Saccharomyces cerevisiae S288C: one gene and its partners. Changing the gene in region 3 together with the main gene of any one other region gives a genetic interaction. Each region holds a gene or a part of one and is shown on either strand. Other genes may lie near its edges. The genes, in order: YBP1, POL4, ALG9 and OLA1.

Region 1 (5,640 bases), on a different chromosome or scaffold from region 3:
CAAGTGTCCCCCATTTGCACGATGCTCAGGGCAATGTCATCAACGTTACAAAGTCTGCACCACCATCCGGATGGAGACAAGTGCTACTGGAAAAGGGACCATCTGAATTTGCCAAGCAAGTCAGACAGTTCAATGGTACTCTACTGATGGACACCACCTGGAGAGACGCTCATCAATCTCTACTTGCAACAAGAGTCAGAACCCACGATTTGGCTACAATCGCTCCAACAACCGCACATGCCCTTGCAGGTGCTTTCGCTTTAGAATGTTGGGGTGGTGCTACATTCGACGTTGCAATGAGATTCTTGCATGAGGATCCATGGGAACGTCTGAGAAAATTAAGATCTCTGGTGCCTAATATTCCATTCCAAATGTTATTACGTGGTGCCAACGGTGTGGCTTACTCTTCATTACCTGACAATGCTATTGACCATTTTGTCAAGCAAGCCAAGGATAATGGTGTTGATATATTTAGAGTTTTTGATGCCTTGAATGATTTAGAACAATTAAAAGTTGGTGTGAATGCTGTCAAGAAGGCCGGTGGTGTTGTCGAAGCTACTGTTTGTTACTCTGGTGACATGCTTCAGCCAGGTAAGAAATACAACTTAGACTACTACCTAGAAGTTGTTGAAAAAATAGTTCAAATGGGTACACATATCTTGGGTATTAAGGATATGGCAGGTACTATGAAACCGGCCGCTGCCAAATTATTAATTGGCTCCCTAAGAACCAGATATCCGGATTTACCAATTCATGTTCACAGTCATGACTCCGCAGGTACTGCTGTTGCGTCTATGACTGCATGTGCCCTAGCAGGTGCTGATGTTGTCGATGTAGCTATCAATTCAATGTCGGGCTTAACTTCCCAACCATCAATTAATGCACTGTTGGCTTCATTAGAAGGTAACATTGATACTGGGATTAACGTTGAGCATGTTCGTGAATTAGATGCATACTGGGCCGAAATGAGACTGTTGTATTCTTGTTTCGAGGCCGACTTGAAGGGACCAGATCCAGAAGTTTACCAACATGAAATCCCAGGTGGTCAATTGACTAACTTGTTATTCCAAGCTCAACAACTGGGTCTTGGTGAACAATGGGCTGAAACTAAAAGAGCTTACAGAGAAGCCAATTACCTACTGGGAGATATTGTTAAAGTTACCCCAACTTCTAAGGTTGTCGGTGATTTAGCTCAATTCATGGTTTCTAACAAACTGACTTCCGACGATATTAGACGTTTAGCTAATTCTTTGGACTTTCCTGACTCTGTTATGGACTTTTTTGAAGGTTTAATTGGTCAACCATACGGTGGGTTCCCAGAACCATTAAGATCTGATGTATTGAGAAACAAGAGAAGAAAGTTGACGTGCCGTCCAGGTTTAGAATTAGAACCATTTGATCTCGAAAAAATTAGAGAAGACTTGCAGAACAGATTCGGTGATATTGATGAATGCGATGTTGCTTCTTACAATATGTATCCAAGGGTCTATGAAGATTTCCAAAAGATCAGAGAAACATACGGTGATTTATCAGTTCTACCAACCAAAAATTTCCTAGCACCAGCAGAACCTGATGAAGAAATCGAAGTCACCATCGAACAAGGTAAGACTTTGATTATCAAATTGCAAGCTGTTGGTGACTTAAATAAGAAAACTGGGCAAAGAGAAGTGTATTTTGAATTGAACGGTGAATTAAGAAAGATCAGAGTTGCAGACAAGTCACAAAACATACAATCTGTTGCTAAACCAAAGGCTGATGTCCACGATACTCACCAAATCGGTGCACCAATGGCTGGTGTTATCATAGAAGTTAAAGTACATAAAGGGTCTTTGGTGAAAAAGGGCGAATCGATTGCTGTTTTGAGTGCCATGAAAATGGAAATGGTTGTCTCTTCACCAGCAGATGGTCAAGTTAAAGACGTTTTCATTAAGGATGGTGAAAGTGTTGACGCATCAGATTTGTTGGTTGTCCTAGAAGAAGAAACCCTACCCCCATCCCAAAAAAAGTAATTTTTACTCGTTAATTATATTTTATGACATCTGAAAATACTAGCTGTACTATATATGGCGTATATTTTATCTAGTTATGTTCCCATGTATATTTAAATGCCAAATAGAAAGTAATCAAACACTTTCGATGAAATACGTGCTAACTGTGTTTCTTCCTTAATGCTTTCACTTACCATGTCTCCATTCTCCATTTTCTTCTTGAGTGAAAATGTGAGTTTATAACGCTCAAGTACGTTAACTACTCTATTTAATATCGTACGGGATTTTTGATCGACTGTAGGTTTTCTTCTTAGACCATTCCAGCGCCCGGGTATTTAACCAAACGCTACGGATGCACAATAACTTACAATAAGCTCATCATTAGTCTTGAATTGCATCCAAAGTTCACCAATATTTTGCTGCGGACTTGGCGCAAACGAATTATTTATATAACAATAAACATGGTCCATTTTCAGCCGTCTCTTAAGAAATAAAATAACCATTGCAAAAGACTGTGACATTGATATTTTACAAACAGATGGTTTTAACTGCCCAATAGAACCAATGGGCTGAAATTTTATCTGTATCTTTTGTATGTTTTTTTCGTCTTTATGGCTTTTTTGTTTGCTTGTTTGTGCATTCGTTTTGATTGTCTCTTCCTGTTCATAAGTGCCACTAGAGGAATCTTCAACTTGCTGGTCGACAGAAATGTCACTCGCCAAACCAAGCTGAGACAATCTCCTGCTAAAAAGTTCCAATCTATTTTGAACGGTATGAGGAGATGATCTTAATTCTTGATTATTTCTGGATCTTTCCATTGCCGTTCCATTATTTGTGGATATGATGGAGCTTTCGTCACTTTCTGTTTCATTTTCGCTCTCTAGGATCCTACTCATACTGTCATTGGTTCACTCTACTGTAGAATATACAGTTAGGGATGTACGTTTATTTCTTCAGCTCAAGTAGCTTTCTGTCAAACACTAAGCGGGCATCCTTCATAAGTACGATTCTTTAAATTTGACAATGTAAAGGAAAAAAATAAAGACTAATTGCCGGTGAACATTATTAACAAATAAACACTGAAAAAGAAAATCACCCTAGACATTCAATACGATACTCAGACACTAATGGAACCAATTGATGACATACTTTTTGAGGTTACTGATGCGTTCAAAACTCAGAAGGAGGATCTTCTTGAGTTGGTAACATTGATTGATATATATGGCGAGCAAGTTAACCAAGAGGGGAGCTATGAAGAAAAGACGAGATTCATTGAAACTTTGAATACATTGTTAGAGGATAATCCGAGTACTACTGGTGAAATCGGTTGGGATCTGCCTAAGGGATTATTGAAGTTCTTGTCAAAGGATAATGTCGATGTAAATGGAAGACTAGGTACGAATATGATTGTCCAAGGTGTAATGAAGTGTTTCTATGCCATCTCAATCCAAGGCGAGCCCAAAAAATGTTTAATTACTGGGTTGGAGTTGCTTTCATCCCTTTGTTCAAAAGATTTTTCCAAGAGTGATCAACAGAATAAGGAAGACTTTGTTGATAAAAAGGCCAATACGTTACCTCCTGAAGGAGTAATCGAAAATTCCTCTAATCGAAAAGATTTTCCATCCTACGGTGAAAGCAAGAGTTCAAATGAATTTTTCTTGAAGTTGAAATCCTACATTTTATTTGAATTCATAGGGGCGAGTCTGAAAAGGATTTCTACTCTGTTTCCTTCGAAATATCTGGGAGCTGCTGTGTCAACAATTGAGAAATTTGTGTATAGTCATGCGGACACTTTTGAAGATGCCCTTTTCCTTCTTCGTAGGGTGTACACATTCTGCAGGAACTATATTCCCCCTGATCCACCAAAAGATATACAATTGAACGAAGATTTTACTCGAGAGATGTTTGATAAAGTTGTGGAGGAAGAAAGTGAATTACAGGTTAGACTATTGCGTAGGCTTTGTACTTTTGGTATTTCGACACCCATAAAAACTGTCACCACCAATGCCGACGTGAAATACTATTGTGCACTAAATCAACAGAAGTTTGAATTATCTGCATATTACACCGAATATCTTGAGCTATTTTGCAGGTATTACCAAATGGCGTTCTCGCTTGATGTTGATATAGAGGGAGAATTTCAGAATGTGATAAAAGAATGTAGGATTATTTATAAGTCTGTACCCCAGGAGATTTCCGCTGTTAATGATGAAGCAAAGTTGGTTTTGGAAAGAATGGTATATAAATTGGCTTATACATTCGAAGTACAAAAGGCCGCTAAAGAAAAAAATGTTGGTTTGGACTATAATGGTGTAATATTATTTTCTGGTATCCACTATTTGGAAACCAATCAACATTTAGTAAAGGAAATGAATATAACGGATGCCATTTATCTCTACTTGAGATTTACAACTCCATCATTATATTCTAAAGTTTACTATAATGTAGCAGTTGAATCAGTTAGTCGCTACTGGCTATGGTATGCTATTACAACCGAGCCCTTGGAGGATGTAAAAAAAGAATTGAAGAATCTTTCAGTGTTTGTTACAAAAACATTATTGCATGTTCTACTTCAAAAGAACTGTATTCAGGTCAATCAGCAGTTAAGAATGATAACTTTCACTCTTCTCACCAGATTACTATGTTTAATACCTGAAAAAGTTGCATTTGAGTTTATCTTAGATGTGCTTAAGACATCTCCCCTTCCATTGGCTAAGACGTCCGTATTATGTGTTTTTAAAGACCTTTCAAGGCGACGCATCTCCACCAAGGATAACGATTCTGAGACGGATTTGATTGTCGAAAAATTATCCAAACTGAAGGTCAATGATAGTAACAAAGCTCAGCAAAGTAACATCAGACATTATATCCAACTAGATTCTTCCAAAATGAAAGCTGTTCATGACTGTTGTCTGCAGACTATCCAAGATTCATTTACGGCAGATGCCAAGAAGAGTGATATATTATTACTGCTAACTTACTTGAATATTTTCATTGTGCTAAAAAAAACATGGGATGAAGATCTACTGAAGATTGTTTGTTCGAAGATTGATTCTAATTTGAAGTCAGTCGAACCTGATAAACTTCCGAAGTATAAGGAAATTGTGGATAAAAACGAATCTCTAAATGACTATTTTACTGGTATAAAATGAAGTTCTTATCTATTTCATTTCCACCAAGATATTGAACATGCCATACTCGTTTCTGGTTTTATAGCCAAGTTTATAGATTCTCTAAGGTGAAATTATCTATTTTTTCTTTCACCATATTATCGGACATAGATACATGGATAGAAAAGCATTCGCTCGGAAAAATCTTCATATAAACTGACTATATACTTTCAGATATAGGCACACTTTATTTCATTTTTTATGTCGTTCAGGGATTTTGGAAAATCTCTGACACAATGCTTATTTATTTTTAACACCACCTCTTTTCATGGTACCATTTGCACGCTCCAAACTTGCATAGTGACCTTTTTCGATTAATGGACCAAAGTAAACAAAAAAACCGTCCTTGGTGGCAGCACGCTGTTCCTCCCACAATAACTCCGAATCATCAATGAACGGATCTTCAACGTCATATTTACCAATCAAATTTTTACCTTTCATAGGATGCGACTTCTTCTTCGGAGAGATGGTGGTAGTTACAG
Region 2 (5,613 bases), on a different chromosome or scaffold from region 3:
TTAATTGTGAAGTGAATGTTTCTTCTGCTTGTAATTTGTCGATAAAGAAAGCACTTATGACAGTACTTTGATATTTGAATTTAGCTCATCTCTTTTCGTTCCTTTTTCTCGCTCGAAAATTTTCAATAATTTGCAGTAAAAAGGCGATGCCAGTAAAAAACTACCTGCAAAGGGAGCGTTAGACATATCTTTTATTGGCGACAAATATTTTTAGCGATATATATCCGTAAAGATCTGGCGATATTCTTTATCACTCGATGATAATAAATTCTTTTACACTTTGCTATTTTCCATGAGAACGGTTGGTATTCCTGTTCCCAATAACAAAAGCGTTTGCATATTTTTATGGTGAAGGTACTATCAACTGTAAAGTATGTACAATAGATTTATTAAAGGGAAACACTTTTCGTAGTAAGAAAAGCAGGTTTATAATTCAATTGTTTTAAAGCTGAATAATGCCGTGGTGTTAAACTACGACCGAGCTATAGCAACAGCATCGGCCACACACTCTCTCTTATTCTTATGTTAATAGTCGACCTTTCAAGGATGTTCTTGTTGGAATAGAAATCCACTATCGTCTATCAACTAATAGTTATATTATCAATATATTATCATATACGGTGTTAAGATGATGACATAAGTTATGAGAAGCTGTCATCGAAGTTAGAGGAAGCTGAAGTGCAAGGATTGATAATGTAATAGGATAATGAAACATATAAAATAGAAGAAGGGATAATCGTAATATTAGTATGTAGAAATATGGATTCCATTTTGAGGATTCCTCTATCCTTGAAGAGAACTCCTAGTATATTCCGTATACATAATATTGTTGCTTTTCTCGAATCATGTATCAAGATTACTAGCGCAAGTGGTTTAGTGGTAAAATCCAACGTTGCCATCGTTGGGCCCCCGGTTCGATTCCGGGCTTGCGCATCTTTTTTACTTTATATACTATTTTTTTTTTTTTTCTTTTTCCCAAATTTTTTCATGAAAAATTTGGCGGAACGGTACATAAGAATAGAAGAGATTCGTTATGAAAATTTTCTACTCTCTTTCACATTTTTTTTTTCATAAGAATTAAAAAAATAAGCTTAATGCCCTCTTTGTACGATGGTGTCACTCTAAAATTATTTACGTAATTTAATTGGATGTGATATCAAGCACTAGTTTTGTTTGGAGGAGCAGAGATTGAAAGCCTAGCTTTTACACCGGTTTGAGTCGGTTCCTTCGTTTTCTTAGTTGGAATTGATATAGAAGTGTGTGGACAATCGATTTGCAAAACTTTTTATTTTATGTATTACTACTGAGCTTGTTTATCTGTATACTTTTTTCTTATTATTATGTAGTTAGAGGTTAGTTCTTATCGTTTTCTTTAAAAGCGACCTTTCTTCGCACAAAGCAATGTTGACAATCGAGCCAATGCATTTAACAATTGCAGTAACCAGAAGCGAACAGTGGAGGATATGAAAACCATTATTATTTCAGATTTTGATGAAACAATCACAAGAGTTGACACAATCTGCACCATTGCTAAATTACCGTATCTACTGAACCCGCGGTTGAAACCTGAGTGGGGTCATTTTACCAAGACATATATGGACGGATACCATAAATACAAATACAATGGAACGAGATCACTGCCGTTGTTATCTTCAGGCGTACCTACGATAATTTCGCAGTCTAACTTCAATAAGTTGTTTGCGGACGAATTAAAATATCAAAATCATAACAGGGTTGTTGAGTTAAATAGTGTAAATGAAATTACAAAACAACAGATTTTTAAGTCGATTTCTTTGGATCAAATGAAAACGTTCGCCAGAGATCAGAATCACGAAGATTGTTTACTAAGAGATGGTTTCAAAACGTTTTGCTCTTCAGTTGTCAAAAATTTTGAAAGTGATTTTTACGTTTTATCTATAAATTGGTCAAAAGAGTTTATTCATGAAGTCATTGGTGACAGAAGACTTAAAAATAGTCATATTTTTTGTAACGATCTAAAAAAAGTTAGTGACAAGTGTTCTCAAAGCTACAATGGTGAATTTGATTGTCGGTTATTGACAGGCTCTGATAAGGTCAAGATACTGGGTGAAATATTAGATAAGATCGACTCAGGTTGCAATAAAGAAGGAAATTCTTGCAGCTATTGGTATATAGGGGATAGTGAGACTGACTTGTTGTCCATATTACATCCATCTACTAATGGTGTACTGCTAATAAACCCGCAAGAAAATCCTTCCAAATTCATAAAAATTACCGAAAAGATTATTGGTATCCCAAAGGATAAAATCTCGAGTTTTGAAGCTGATAATGGTCCAGCGTGGTTACAGTTTTGTGAAAAGGAAGGCGGTAAAGGTGCCTACCTTGTGAAATCCTGGGACTCTTTAAAAGATTTGATCATGCAGGTAACAAAAATGTAGAAACGGATGAAATCCTGTATATTCAAATTTATATAACCAGGACGTTGCAGTGCTAATAATAATGGAATACCGCTAATTTTCCTCCTGTTTTTTCTTTTTTAAGTAAAGATAAAATAGTATTTCACTTGCACTATTCTTCTATCTCCGTAATCGGTCTCGGTCTAAAATTACTTTGAGATGTTCAAATACATGGGGCTAATAATTTTAAGGGCTTGCAAAGAACTTATATGTCACAGTGATAATAAGTAAAGGATAAACATGCGACCTGTTAGACAAATCGCACATGTCTCTAAAGGGTAAATTTTTCGCCTTTTTACCTAATCCTAACACATCTTCCAATAAGTTCTTTAAGAGTATATTGGAGAAAAAGGGCGCCACAATTGTGTCAAGTATTCAAAATTGTCTTCAATCTAGCCGTAAGGAAGTGGTCATTTTGATTGAGGACTCCTTTGTTGATTCTGATATGCATTTGACTCAGAAAGATATTTTCCAAAGGGAAGCAGGCTTAAATGATGTCGATGAATTTCTTGGTAAGATTGAACAGTCAGGCATTCAATGTGTGAAAACCAGTTGCATCACAAAGTGGGTCCAGAATGATAAATTTGCGTTTCAAAAAGATGATTTGATTAAATTTCAACCATCCATTATCGTTATATCAGATAACGCTGATGACGGACAAAGTTCTACTGATAAAGAGAGTGAGATTTCAACTGACGTAGAAAGTGAAAGGAATGATGACAGCAACAATAAAGATATGATACAAGCTTCAAAACCTCTTAAGCGACTCTTACAGGGGGATAAAGGAAGAGCTTCCCTTGTTACTGACAAAACGAAGTACAAAAACAATGAATTGATTATCGGAGCGTTGAAAAGGTTAACAAAAAAATATGAGATCGAAGGTGAGAAATTTCGTGCAAGAAGTTATAGACTGGCTAAACAGTCGATGGAAAATTGCGATTTCAATGTTCGTTCCGGTGAAGAAGCACATACTAAATTAAGGAATATCGGGCCTAGTATTGCCAAAAAAATACAAGTTATATTAGATACGGGAGTTTTACCAGGTTTAAATGATTCAGTGGGATTAGAAGACAAGTTGAAATACTTCAAAAATTGTTACGGCATTGGGTCGGAAATTGCTAAACGCTGGAATCTTCTAAATTTTGAAAGCTTTTGTGTTGCAGCTAAGAAGGACCCAGAGGAGTTTGTATCAGATTGGACAATTTTATTTGGTTGGTCATATTACGACGATTGGTTATGCAAGATGTCTCGGAATGAATGTTTCACACATTTAAAGAAGGTTCAAAAAGCGCTGCGTGGCATTGATCCTGAATGCCAAGTCGAATTACAGGGAAGTTATAATAGGGGCTATTCCAAGTGTGGTGACATTGATCTTTTATTTTTCAAGCCGTTTTGTAATGACACGACCGAGTTGGCAAAAATCATGGAAACGCTTTGTATTAAGTTGTACAAGGATGGCTATATCCATTGTTTTTTACAGCTAACGCCAAACTTGGAAAAGCTATTCTTAAAAAGAATAGTGGAGAGATTTCGTACAGCGAAGATTGTTGGGTATGGAGAAAGAAAGAGGTGGTATTCTTCTGAGATAATCAAGAAATTTTTCATGGGAGTCAAATTGTCTCCAAGAGAATTAGAAGAACTGAAAGAAATGAAAAATGATGAAGGCACATTGTTAATTGAAGAAGAAGAAGAAGAAGAAACAAAATTAAAACCGATTGACCAATATATGTCTCTGAATGCCAAGGATGGAAATTATTGCAGAAGATTAGACTTTTTTTGTTGCAAGTGGGATGAGCTTGGAGCAGGAAGAATACACTATACTGGATCTAAAGAGTACAATAGATGGATAAGAATATTGGCAGCGCAAAAAGGCTTCAAGCTTACACAACACGGTTTATTTCGAAATAATATCCTTCTCGAAAGCTTTAACGAACGCAGAATTTTCGAGTTATTAAACTTAAAATACGCTGAACCCGAACATAGAAATATCGAATGGGAAAAAAAAACTGCATAAAGGCATTAAAAGAGGAGCGAATTTTTTTTTAATAAAAATCTTAATAATCATTAAAAGATAAATAATAGTCTATATATACGTATATAAATAAAAAATATTCAAAAAATAAAATAAACTATTATTTTAGCGTAAAGGATGGGGAAAGAGAAAAGAAAAAAATTGATCTATCGATTTCAATTCAATTCAATTTATTTCTTTTCGGATAAGAAAGCAACACCTGGCAATTCCTTACCTTCCAATAATTCCAAAGAAGCACCACCACCAGTAGAGACATGGGAGATCTTGTCAGTGACACCGTACTTCTTAGCGACAGTGGCAGTGTCACCACCACCAATGATGACGGTGTTACCAGCAGCAGAGCTCTTGACAACTTCGTCTAACAAAGCCTTAGTACCAGCAGCGAACTTTTCGAATTCGAAAACACCTGGTGGACCGTTCCAGACAATGGTCTTAGCCTTTGCAACAGTAGCAGCAAACAACTTTCTAGATTCTGGACCATTGTCCAACCCTTGCCAGCCAGCTGGAATACCTTCCTTGTCAGTGACAGTCTTGGTGTTGGCATCAGCAGAGAAAGCATCAGCAATGATGAAGTCGACTGGCAAGACGACTTCGACACCCTTGGCCTTGGCCTTTTCCATCAACTTTGGAACGATTTCAGCACCAGCCTTGTCGAAGATGGAGTCACCGATTTCAGTGTTTTCCAAAACCTTCTTGAAGGTGAAAGCCATACCACCACCAATGATGATAGAGTCGACCTTGTCCAACAAGTTGTCAATCAATTGAATCTTGTCAGCAACCTTGGCACCACCTAAGATGGCCAAGAATGGTCTGGTTGGGTTCTCCAAAGCCTTACCGAAGTACTTCAATTCCTTTTCCAACAAGAAACCGGCAGCACGTTGTGGCAAGTCGAAACCGACCATAGAAGAGTGAGCTCTGTGAGCGGTACCGAAGGCATCGTTGATGTAAACATCAGCCAAAGAGCTCAATTCGTGTCTGAACTTTTGAACATCTTCCTTGGAAGCCTTGACCTTTTGACCATCGACCTTTCTGGAACCTTCTTCTTCGATGTGGTAACGCAAGTTTTCCAACAAAATAACGGAACCTGGGGCAGAAGCCTTGACAGCGGCTTCAACTTCTGGACCGACACAGTCGTTCAAGAAGGTG
Region 3 (5,299 bases):
AAAGTTAAAGGTGTCATTAATTTGGGGCGTCTTACCCATTTCGAGAAGTCTGGGTTTAAATAGGCCATCATGACCAATATTTCATGATTGCCCAAAACGCACTTGACTTGATCCTTGTGATTTAGAATATACGACACGACCTTGTCTGAGTCCGGGCCCTTGTGAATAAAGTCACCCAGCAATATCATTGTTATATTTTCTCCTAGTCCTCCAATCTTGTCATCAATGAGTTCTATGAACTCATCATAGTTACCATGAACGTCACCAACAAAAACGTACTCCTTATTTAAATCTGTTACATGCTCAATTTTCTTCAAGGTGCTAATTGTAGGCAATAAGGAAACTGGTGGAGACAACCGAGGGTTATCAAACTTGAATATATATAGTGTATAAACGCAGCATGCCACAAATAATATCAATGCTGTACTAAGTGTAGCGGCTCGTCTTTTCCGCTTATCTTCCATTTTTGCGTATCTATGCTCCTCAAGCCTGGCTCATTTTACAAGCTGGAAGGTCGAGGAAAAGGAAGAACTAATTCAAGAATAATGTGCTCTTCTTATAGGATGCGTATATGTTCTAATATATCTCAGATGGGCCCGCGAGACTTTTCTAGCATGAAAAAAAAAGGTGGATCCTTGATTATCTAAAATTATAGTTTATATCGTTCATGCTGCACAAAAACGTGCCAGCAATGCAATGCGCCTCAAGCGTAAAAAAACAAGCGGCATTGGCCAACAGAGAAAAAAATATGAATTGTAGACGCGGCATTGAGAGAAGTATGGAAGACCCTTGACTAACCCTGATATGACTGTCTCAAGTCAGGATCTTCTTTGTCTCCTAAATGTTTGCCGTCCAGGAACTTTAAGTCAGTTTTATTTGGACATTTCTCGAGCACTTCTTTGGGAAAGTAGTCTTGTTGGACTTTTCCTTCAATATAATCGGGATTGTACTTGTAGCCTTTATGATAACCCAGCTCCTCCATCAATTTGGTTGGCGCATTTCTGATATGCATCGGTATCTCACTGCTTGCTAAACTGTACATGTTCTCGCTCATCATTGCCCTTAATTTCTTCCAAGCTCTATATAGTTCTACTGACTTTGGTGCCCTAGCCAAAGCAACACAACATTGCGCCAGTGCAAGGTCTGCCTCTGGCAAACCAACTTTCATTACTGCGTCATGTGCCGCGACAGCCAAGGGCAATAATGAACTATCCCGTAATCCGATATCTTCAGAAGCTATTCGAATCATTCTTCGGGCAACATACAATGGGTCCTCTCCTCCCTGCAACATTCTTGCTAAATAGTACAGTGAGGCGTTTTCGTCCCCACCTCTAATGGATTTATGAAACGCAGAGATTGTATCATAATGGTTATCTCCCTTTGGGTCATAGTATGTATTCAACCCGTTGCTGCTGTTGTTCTTAATTATGTCTCGTACATCATCGATAGATAATTCTTCCTCGTCGGCCTTGCGCTCTCTTGTTGAAACTTCGATCATTTCCAACATATTTAACGCCCTCCTTGTATCACCCACCGACAGATCTACCACGTACTCCAGTATGCTTCTAGACAATTTCAAAGGATTTTCAATATTCCATACTTGTTTCCTGCATTTATTCAATAATGCAATTCCTCTTGATAAAACAATACACAGTTCGTTGACATTCAGCTTTTCTAGGACAAAAATCAGACATCTGCTAATGAGAGCATTGTTCAGCTGAAAACTTGGATTTTCTGTCGTTGCACCAATCAAAATAATGTCACCGTTTTCTACGTGTGGCAATAACAAATCCTGTTGAACTTTATTGAATCTGTGAATTTCATCAATAAAAAGTACAGTTCTTCTTTTGGTCAATTGATATTCCTTTTTTGATTTTTCAAATATACCTCTCAATTCTTGCGTATTTGCCTTTGTCGCACTTGTTTCGATCATGAAGTACCTGGAACCAACATTTGATTCATTACTACTGGTTGTCGCAGTTTTCGTTAATAGTCTAGCTAGTGAAGTCTTTCCTACACCTGGAGGGCCCCAGAGTATCATAGATGGTATAGTCCCTTGTTTTATGTATTTGAACAATGTACCATTATCTTGAGAGAGAATGTGCTGCTGACCTACATAATCTCTTAATTCTTTTGGCCTCAATTTTTCACTAAGTGGCAAATGGCTTATTTTCTGCAACCATCTGCTTTCGTAATCGTTGTGAAGTTGATCTCTGCTCGAAGCAGGCTCCACTATTGATTTCGCAAAATCCGTGGATGGTGCTGCCTTAAATCTTTTGCTTTCATTTTCAACAATCTCAATATCATCACTCTCGCTCTTAAGACCTGGCTTAATTTCATGGTCCTTATTTTCAAGATCAATGAATTTCTCTGAGTTAGCTTGTTTCCTCTTTTTTGGGCCTGCCAAAAGACTTGACACCGTTTGTGGCCTACTCGAAGGCTTTGACTTTTCCTTGCCACATATGTCAAGATGAGAGTTGATTAAGGAAAAAAAGACTTTTCTAGAGCAAATTGGGCATGATATGAGCTGTTCTACAGATGTCCTCTTGTTACTCATTGAGACTGTGCGATCCTGTTTCAGATCTTACCGCTAGCGTTCTTCTGCTAATAAGCTATTTTTTACCTGTCGATGACCTACCTTAAAACACGTTTCGTTTAAGACAACGCGTACAGTTTCACAAGGAAAGCAACCGATGATTGAATGTCAATTAAAAAACAAAAAACAGATGTTAATTTTAACTGGGCTCTCAATATCAAACCGTTATAGTATATGATGTATCTAAACGACCACTTATCACTTGGATATGTTGTCAAATCCGTTTTGCTCTTGCGCATGTTATACCTACTTTTTACTATCTACGGCGGGCATCCTGACCCGGCTTATTTACTTGAAAATGCAACAATAAGTCCGTTACGCAATATTGAATTTTGATGAGAACCGTTCTGCGATATTCAGAACTGTCAATACAAGCTTGAAAAAGGGACAACTGGATATACAGGGGTGTTTTTGACACAATAGAGAATACTTTTTCGTTTTTATTGTACCATTACGGCTACTCAACGAGATTTCAAAACTTTAGCTGTATCGAATTGGCTCTTTTTTCACCCTGAAGCACAATTATAAGGGAACGATGAATTGCAAGGCGGTAACCATTAGTTTATTACTGTTGTTATTTTTAACAAGAGTATATATTCAGCCGACATTCTCGTTAATTTCAGATTGCGATGAAACTTTTAATTATTGGGAACCATTAAATTTATTGGTACGTGGATTTGGTAAACAAACCTGGGAATATTCACCCGAGTATTCTATTAGATCATGGGCTTTCTTATTACCTTTTTACTGTATTCTTTATCCAGTAAACAAATTTACTGACCTAGAAAGTCATTGGAACTTTTTCATCACAAGAGCATGCTTAGGCTTTTTTAGTTTTATCATGGAATTTAAACTACATCGTGAAATTGCAGGCAGCTTGGCATTGCAAATCGCAAATATTTGGATTATTTTCCAATTGTTTAATCCGGGCTGGTTCCATGCATCTGTGGAATTATTGCCTTCTGCCGTTGCCATGTTGTTGTATGTAGGTGCCACCAGACACTCTCTACGCTATCTGTCCACTGGGTCTACTTCTAACTTTACGAAAAGTTTAGCGTACAATTTCCTGGCTAGTATACTAGGCTGGCCATTTGTTTTAATTTTAAGCTTGCCATTATGTTTACATTACCTTTTCAACCATAGAATTATTTCTACCATCAGAACCGCATTCGACTGCTGTTTGATATTTTCATTGACTGCATTTGCTGTGATTGTCACTGACAGTATATTTTACGGGAAGCTTGCTCCTGTATCATGGAACATCTTATTTTACAATGTCATTAATGCAAGTGAGGAATCTGGCCCAAATATTTTCGGGGTTGAGCCATGGTACTACTATCCACTAAATTTGTTACTGAATTTCCCACTGCCTGTGCTAGTTTTAGCTATTTTGGGAATTTTCCATTTGAGATTATGGCCATTATGGGCATCATTATTCACATGGATTGCCGTTTTCACTCAACAACCTCACAAAGAGGAAAGATTTCTCTATCCAATTTACGGGTTAATAACTTTGAGTGCAAGTATCGCCTTTTACAAAGTGTTGAATCTATTCAATAGAAAGCCGATTCTTAAAAAAGGTATAAAGTTGTCAGTTTTATTAATTGTTGCAGGCCAGGCAATGTCACGGATAGTGGCTTTGGTGAACAATTACACAGCTCCTATAGCCGTCTACGAGCAATTTTCTTCACTAAATCAAGGTGGTGTGAAGGCACCGGTAGTGAATGTATGTACGGGACGTGAATGGTATCACTTCCCAAGTTCTTTCCTGCTGCCAGATAATCATAGGCTAAAATTTGTTAAATCTGGATTTGATGGTCTTCTTCCAGGTGATTTTCCAGAGAGTGGTTCTATTTTCAAAAAGATTAGAACTTTACCTAAGGGAATGAATAACAAGAATATATATGATACCGGTAAAGAGTGGCCGATCACTAGATGTGATTATTTTATTGACATCGTCGCCCCAATAAATTTAACAAAAGACGTTTTCAACCCTCTACATCTGATGGATAACTGGAATAAGCTGGCATGTGCTGCATTCATCGACGGTGAAAATTCTAAGATTTTGGGTAGAGCATTTTACGTACCGGAGCCAATCAACCGAATCATGCAAATAGTTTTACCAAAACAATGGAATCAAGTGTACGGTGTTCGTTACATTGATTACTGTTTGTTTGAAAAACCAACTGAGACTACTAATTGATATACAGGTTCTCTAAAACAAGCAGCAAAAAAAAAAAAAGCCTGCTTACTACTTGTTTTGAGCGTTTTTTCTTATCAATAGTTTTAACATTTTTCCACGTAAATATATATATATCTATATGTTTTTATGCATTTTATAAAAAAAATATGTTTGTTCATTACTCTTTCATTTTTTCATTGAAAACTTTTAAAAAATGTCATGATTAGTTACATTTCGTATATATAAAACTATAAAACTGTGAAAAGAAATTAAATTGAAGTTTGTCATGGATGTCCAACGCCCTATTTAATTTCTTTATGCAACATGCTTTCTCTTGCGGGGCCGGTACCAACCCATTCAACAGGAACGCCAACAAAATCTTCAATATATTTTAAGTACTTCTTTGCGTTTTCCGGCAAATCTTCATACTTTGTAATTTTGGTAATATCTTGATCCCAACCTGGCAAAACTTTGTATTCAACTTCAACTTTACCAAGAATATTCAAGTCTTCAGGGAACAA
Region 4 (4,837 bases), on a different chromosome or scaffold from region 3:
TTTACTTCTATGTCATATGAGGAAACCTATACGGATAGCAAGCCGATTAATATCAATTCGGTGAGCAAGTCCCCGGATATGTTCAAGGGATTTAGTTATAAAGCAAGTGGTAGCTATTTGGAGAAGTACTTTTGAATTAAAAGTTAGATAGATTAAGAGAGAAGGCTCGGATCTGCACTGACTTACTTTTTTTTGTTTTTTTGATGTTTAAAGGATCTGTGTCACTGTATATACTTTGTTTTGCTTTAGGGTTACGAAACACATTTTTAATATATAATGTATGTAATAATATTAAAAACAACTGTATGGATAATACTTCTGGACCAATCGGTGATACCATCTTCCTTATTTATGGTATTATTATCATTATTGGACCCCGCCGGTGCTTTTTTTTTTACCTTAAAAGAGTGGTTCTCCTCCAAGGGACGCACGAGTGGTGTACCCAGGGGTTGTTTCCATGGCTAAAGAAATTGGAGATTACAAACGTACATTGTCATTTAAGAAGGTTCATAATCTGCCAATTACATTTGATATAACAAGATGCTTCCCACATTCAAACGTTACATGTCGTCCTCAGCTCATCAGATTCCCAAGCACTTCAAATCGCTCATCTATTCAACTCATGAAGTTGAGGATTGTACCAAGGTTTTGTCAGTGAAAAATTATACGCCTAAACAAGACTTATCTCAATCAATTGTGTTAAAAACTTTGGCCTTTCCCATAAACCCTTCGGATATCAATCAGTTGCAAGGAGTATACCCGTCTCGTCCAGAAAAGACATACGATTACTCCACAGATGAGCCAGCCGCTATCGCCGGTAATGAGGGTGTCTTTGAAGTTGTTTCTTTACCTTCGGGAAGTTCCAAGGGAGATTTGAAATTGGGTGACCGAGTTATCCCATTGCAGGCAAATCAAGGGACTTGGTCCAATTATAGAGTTTTCTCTAGTAGTTCTGATTTAATCAAGGTAAATGATTTGGATCTGTTTTCTGCGGCAACTGTATCTGTTAATGGTTGTACCGGTTTCCAATTAGTATCAGACTATATCGACTGGAACAGTAACGGTAATGAATGGATTATCCAAAATGCCGGTACATCTAGTGTATCAAAAATAGTTACGCAAGTAGCAAAAGCTAAAGGGATCAAAACATTAAGTGTTATACGTGACCGTGATAATTTTGATGAGGTAGCAAAAGTTTTGGAGGATAAGTATGGTGCTACGAAGGTTATTTCCGAATCGCAAAACAACGACAAGACTTTTGCCAAAGAAGTATTGTCCAAGATTTTGGGTGAAAATGCAAGGGTGAGGCTTGCCTTGAATTCTGTTGGAGGTAAATCCAGTGCATCAATAGCACGTAAGTTGGAAAATAATGCTTTGATGCTCACTTATGGAGGAATGTCAAAACAACCTGTAACTTTACCAACATCTCTACACATTTTCAAAGGCTTGACATCCAAAGGGTACTGGGTGACTGAAAAGAACAAAAAAAACCCCCAAAGCAAGATTGACACCATCAGTGATTTTATCAAAATGTATAATTATGGTCACATTATTTCACCAAGAGATGAAATTGAAACTCTTACCTGGAATACTAACACTACTACTGACGAACAGTTACTAGAACTAGTCAAAAAAGGTATAACTGGGAAGGGGAAGAAAAAAATGGTTGTTTTAGAATGGTAAGGGCCTTAGCATTGCTCAGAGTTAGACAACCACCAAAGATAGTATTCCTCTTTATGACATCGAGTATAGTTGCTATATAATATATACCAAGACATTAAAAAATATATGCCAGTGCTATCTTTGTAGGAGCTAATAAAAGGGGACGTCGACCCTTCAATGTATATATCGATCCTTTCACATTAGTCAGGACGAGATAATGAGCATGATGTATAAACAAACGGTAGTTAATACCAACGATAAGTTATACAACTACTGTACAATAAAAAAACATCACAATAGCAATACAGGAGTCCTATTCGCTACTTCAACTTGACAAGATCTACTAGATATAGAAATATCTAGCTTAATCAACAATTTTCCTCACTGATTGCTTCCTCCGAATGCCATTATTGGCTTTCTTGGTTCTTAAGCATGATATTACGTATAAATAGCCATTATATCAATTAGAACAAAAGATTACGTAAATGCAATTTTTCCTGAGAATGGCGTTCGAAGAAGGGCGCGTAACTCGTAGAAACCTAAGAATTCTCGTAGAGCGAAGTCTTCGGTAGGAAACGTAGTAGATTTGCAGAAGATACGCCTGTTAAACTGAAGAAAACAAATCTGAGTAGTTTCCCTTCTTTGGAGTTGAGCTTTACAACAAGTTCATATTGTTGGTGCCAATTTGCCTTGAGACAACTAAGGCAGAATGCAGTTGTTGCGTGTTACTTAATTCTCCGTATTGAATGACCACGCACAATTCCTAATTTTTTTTTTTTCTCGAAAATTCTTTTTTTTTTCACTGAAAAAATTTTTTCAAGGGCCATCCCAGCGATTTTATGACCCAAAAGGAAGGATGCAGTGAAAGTCAACTTACGTCTTCTCTCTCATACCTTTCGTTGCGAGAAATCGTATTTAGTAGTGTATTCAGTTGATAATTAGTACTAATTTTTTATTGCATTTTGCCTTTTTTAGCTTTTTGTGTTACTTCTAGTATCCGTAAAAACAATCAAATAAATAGCACTGTAAAACATGCCTCCAAAGAAGCAAGTCGAAGAAAAAAAGGTCTTATTGGGTCGTCCAGGTAATAACTTGAAAGCCGGTATTGTCGGTTTGGCCAATGTTGGTAAGTCTACCTTTTTCCAAGCCATCACTAGATGTCCATTGGGTAACCCAGCTAACTATCCATTCGCTACCATTGATCCAGAAGAAGCCCGTGTTATTGTCCCATCTCCAAGATTTGATAAGTTGTGTGAAATCTACAAGAAGACAGCTTCGGAAGTTCCAGCTCATTTGACCGTTTACGATATTGCTGGTTTGACTAAGGGTGCCTCTGCTGGTGAAGGTTTGGGTAATGCTTTCTTGTCTCACATCAGATCAGTCGATTCTATCTACCAAGTCGTTCGTTGTTTCGATGATGCTGAAATTATCCACGTTGAGGGTGACGTTGATCCAGTTCGTGATTTAGAAATTATTAACCAAGAACTAAGATTGAAAGATATTGAATTCGCACAAAAGGCTTTGGAAGGTGCTGAAAAGATTGCCAAAAGAGGTGGTCAATCTTTGGAAGTCAAACAAAAGAAGGAAGAAATGGATTTGATTACGAAAATCATTAAATTGCTAGAGAGTGGTCAAAGAGTTGCTAATCACTCCTGGACTTCAAAAGAAGTTGAAATTATCAACTCCATGTTCTTGTTGACTGCTAAGCCATGTATCTATTTGATTAATTTATCTGAAAGAGATTACATCAGAAAGAAAAACAAGCATCTGCTAAGAATCAAGGAATGGGTAGACAAGTACTCTCCAGGTGACTTGATCATTCCATTCAGTGTTTCTCTAGAAGAAAGACTATCTCATATGTCCCCAGAAGATGCTGAAGAAGAATTGAAGAAACTGCAGACAATATCTGCCTTGCCAAAGATTATCACTACCATGAGACAAAAGTTAGATTTGATTTCCTTTTTCACCTGCGGTCCAGATGAAGTTCGTGAATGGACCATCAGAAGAGGTACTAAAGCTCCACAAGCTGCTGGTGTTATTCATAACGATTTAATGAATACCTTTATTTTGGCTCAAGTTATGAAATGTGAAGATGTCTTCGAATATAAGGACGATTCTGCCATCAAGGCCGCTGGTAAGTTGATGCAAAAGGGTAAAGACTATGTCGTTGAAGACGGTGATATCATTTACTTCAGAGCTGGTGCTGGTAAGAATTGATTTCGTGCACTAAAGTTGACTTTTCTTTATTTGGTTTAGTTCCCTACTATATATCATCATAGAAATTTTCAACATGATTTTCTTGAAAGAGAAACGAAAGGAAAAAAGCAATCTCGCGAGTGGATGGCATCGGATTTTATGTATGTGTGTATGTATGTTTATTATTCCCGCATGTTTACGCCCTTAAGCCCAATTAATAATTTGAACTGACAAGCATAATCATTTGACTTTCATTTTTTTTACTATTTTTTTCTATTTACAATGTAACTGTTAAATTGAACGACCCATAAGTTCGGTATCCTAGCTGTGTCTTTTTCTTTTTTTTTTTGCTCAATTGAAGATAAAAGAGTACCATTTTTTTGACCTACGCTCCCGTTCTTCCTTTGGCACATACGCCTGAATTTGTTCACGAATCTTTTCGAGACCAGATTGCTCATCGTAGTTTCTTCCCAACGCATCGATAAACTGTCCTTCAGGGTCGATCAAATAGAAAAATATCGAATGGTCCACTAAGTAATCCTGGTTGGGCTTGACATCACGTGGAGTTGAAAAATATACCTTGTATTTTTTGCATACGCTTTTCACTTGGTCGTACGTACCGGTTAAACCAATGATAGCTGGGTGAAAATCGCTTAAGTACTCTTTCAAGACATCCGGTGTATCTCTTGCAGGATCACATGAGATAAACAATGGCTGTATCTTTATATGGTCTTTATCATCTAATTCAGAAATCCAATACGTTAATCTGTCAAGCTCTTCTGGACAAATGTCGGGGCAATGACTGAATCCAAAGTATAAAATGGAAAACTTACCCTTCAAATTCTCCTCAGTGAAAGGCTTACCATTAAAATCTGTTAAATTGAAAGGACCGCCAAGTGCTACTGAACCGTAAGCTCTGTTAGCATCTGCTTCCTTTTCAGTTTCTAGCAAGCGTCTTTTTCTTGATAAATAGGCATAC

The links.
Region 1: mutations in ALG9 (region 3) and YBP1 together harm fitness more than expected from each alone (negative genetic interaction), as found in Saccharomyces cerevisiae (2 studies listed by BioGRID).
Region 2: mutations in ALG9 (region 3) and POL4 together harm fitness more than expected from each alone (negative genetic interaction), as found in Saccharomyces cerevisiae (2 studies listed by BioGRID).
Region 4: mutations in ALG9 (region 3) and OLA1 together harm fitness more than expected from each alone (negative genetic interaction), as found in Saccharomyces cerevisiae (2 studies listed by BioGRID).

What each region holds. Positions count from the first base shown.
Region 1 is NC_001134.8:655,076-660,715, reverse strand, and holds YBP1 (Ybp1p), read left to right. Parts: upstream 1-3,115; coding exon 3,116-5,140; downstream 5,141-5,640. Other genes in the region: PYC2 (pyruvate carboxylase 2), read left to right, coding at 1-2,009; ATG12 (Atg12p), read right to left, coding at 2,324-2,884; HPC2 (Hpc2p), read right to left, coding at 5,399-5,640. UniProt on the Saccharomyces cerevisiae protein: Involved in oxidative stress response and redox homeostasis. Required for hydrogen peroxide-induced oxidation and nuclear localization (activation) of YAP1. Functions probably in concert with HYP1/GPX3, the actual YAP1 modifying enzyme.
Region 2 is NC_001135.5:138,021-143,633, reverse strand, and holds POL4 (DNA-directed DNA polymerase IV), read left to right. Parts: upstream 1-2,700; coding exon 2,701-4,449; downstream 4,450-5,613. Other genes in the region: CTO1 (Cto1p), read left to right, coding at 1,464-2,417; PGK1 (phosphoglycerate kinase), read right to left, coding at 4,638-5,613. UniProt on the Saccharomyces cerevisiae protein: Repair polymerase. Involved in gap-filling in DNA nonhomologous end joining (NHEJ) required for double-strand break repair. Seems to conduct DNA synthesis in a stepwise distributive fashion rather than in a processive fashion as for other DNA polymerases.
Region 3 is NC_001146.8:235,496-240,794, reverse strand, and holds ALG9 (dolichyl-P-Man:Man(6)GlcNAc(2)-PP-dolichol alpha-1,2-mannosyltransferase), read left to right. Parts: upstream 1-3,131; coding exon 3,132-4,799; downstream 4,800-5,299. Other genes in the region: PPN2 (putative serine/threonine-protein phosphatase), read right to left, coding at 1-464; ssDNA-dependent ATPase MGS1, read right to left, coding at 794-2,557; ADE12 (adenylosuccinate synthase), read right to left, coding at 5,081-5,299. UniProt on the Saccharomyces cerevisiae protein: Mannosyltransferase that operates in the biosynthetic pathway of dolichol-linked oligosaccharides, the glycan precursors employed in protein asparagine (N)-glycosylation.
Region 4 is NC_001134.8:289,723-294,559, reverse strand, and holds OLA1 (Obg-like ATPase), read left to right. Parts: upstream 1-2,694; coding exon 2,695-3,879; downstream 3,880-4,837. Other genes in the region: putative protein kinase YPK3, read left to right, coding at 1-135; YBR027C (uncharacterized protein), read left to right, coding at 204-536; ETR1 (enoyl-[acyl-carrier-protein] reductase), read left to right, coding at 541-1,683; putative thioredoxin peroxidase SCO2, read right to left, coding at 4,210-4,837. UniProt on the Saccharomyces cerevisiae protein: Hydrolyzes ATP, and can also hydrolyze GTP with lower efficiency. Has lower affinity for GTP.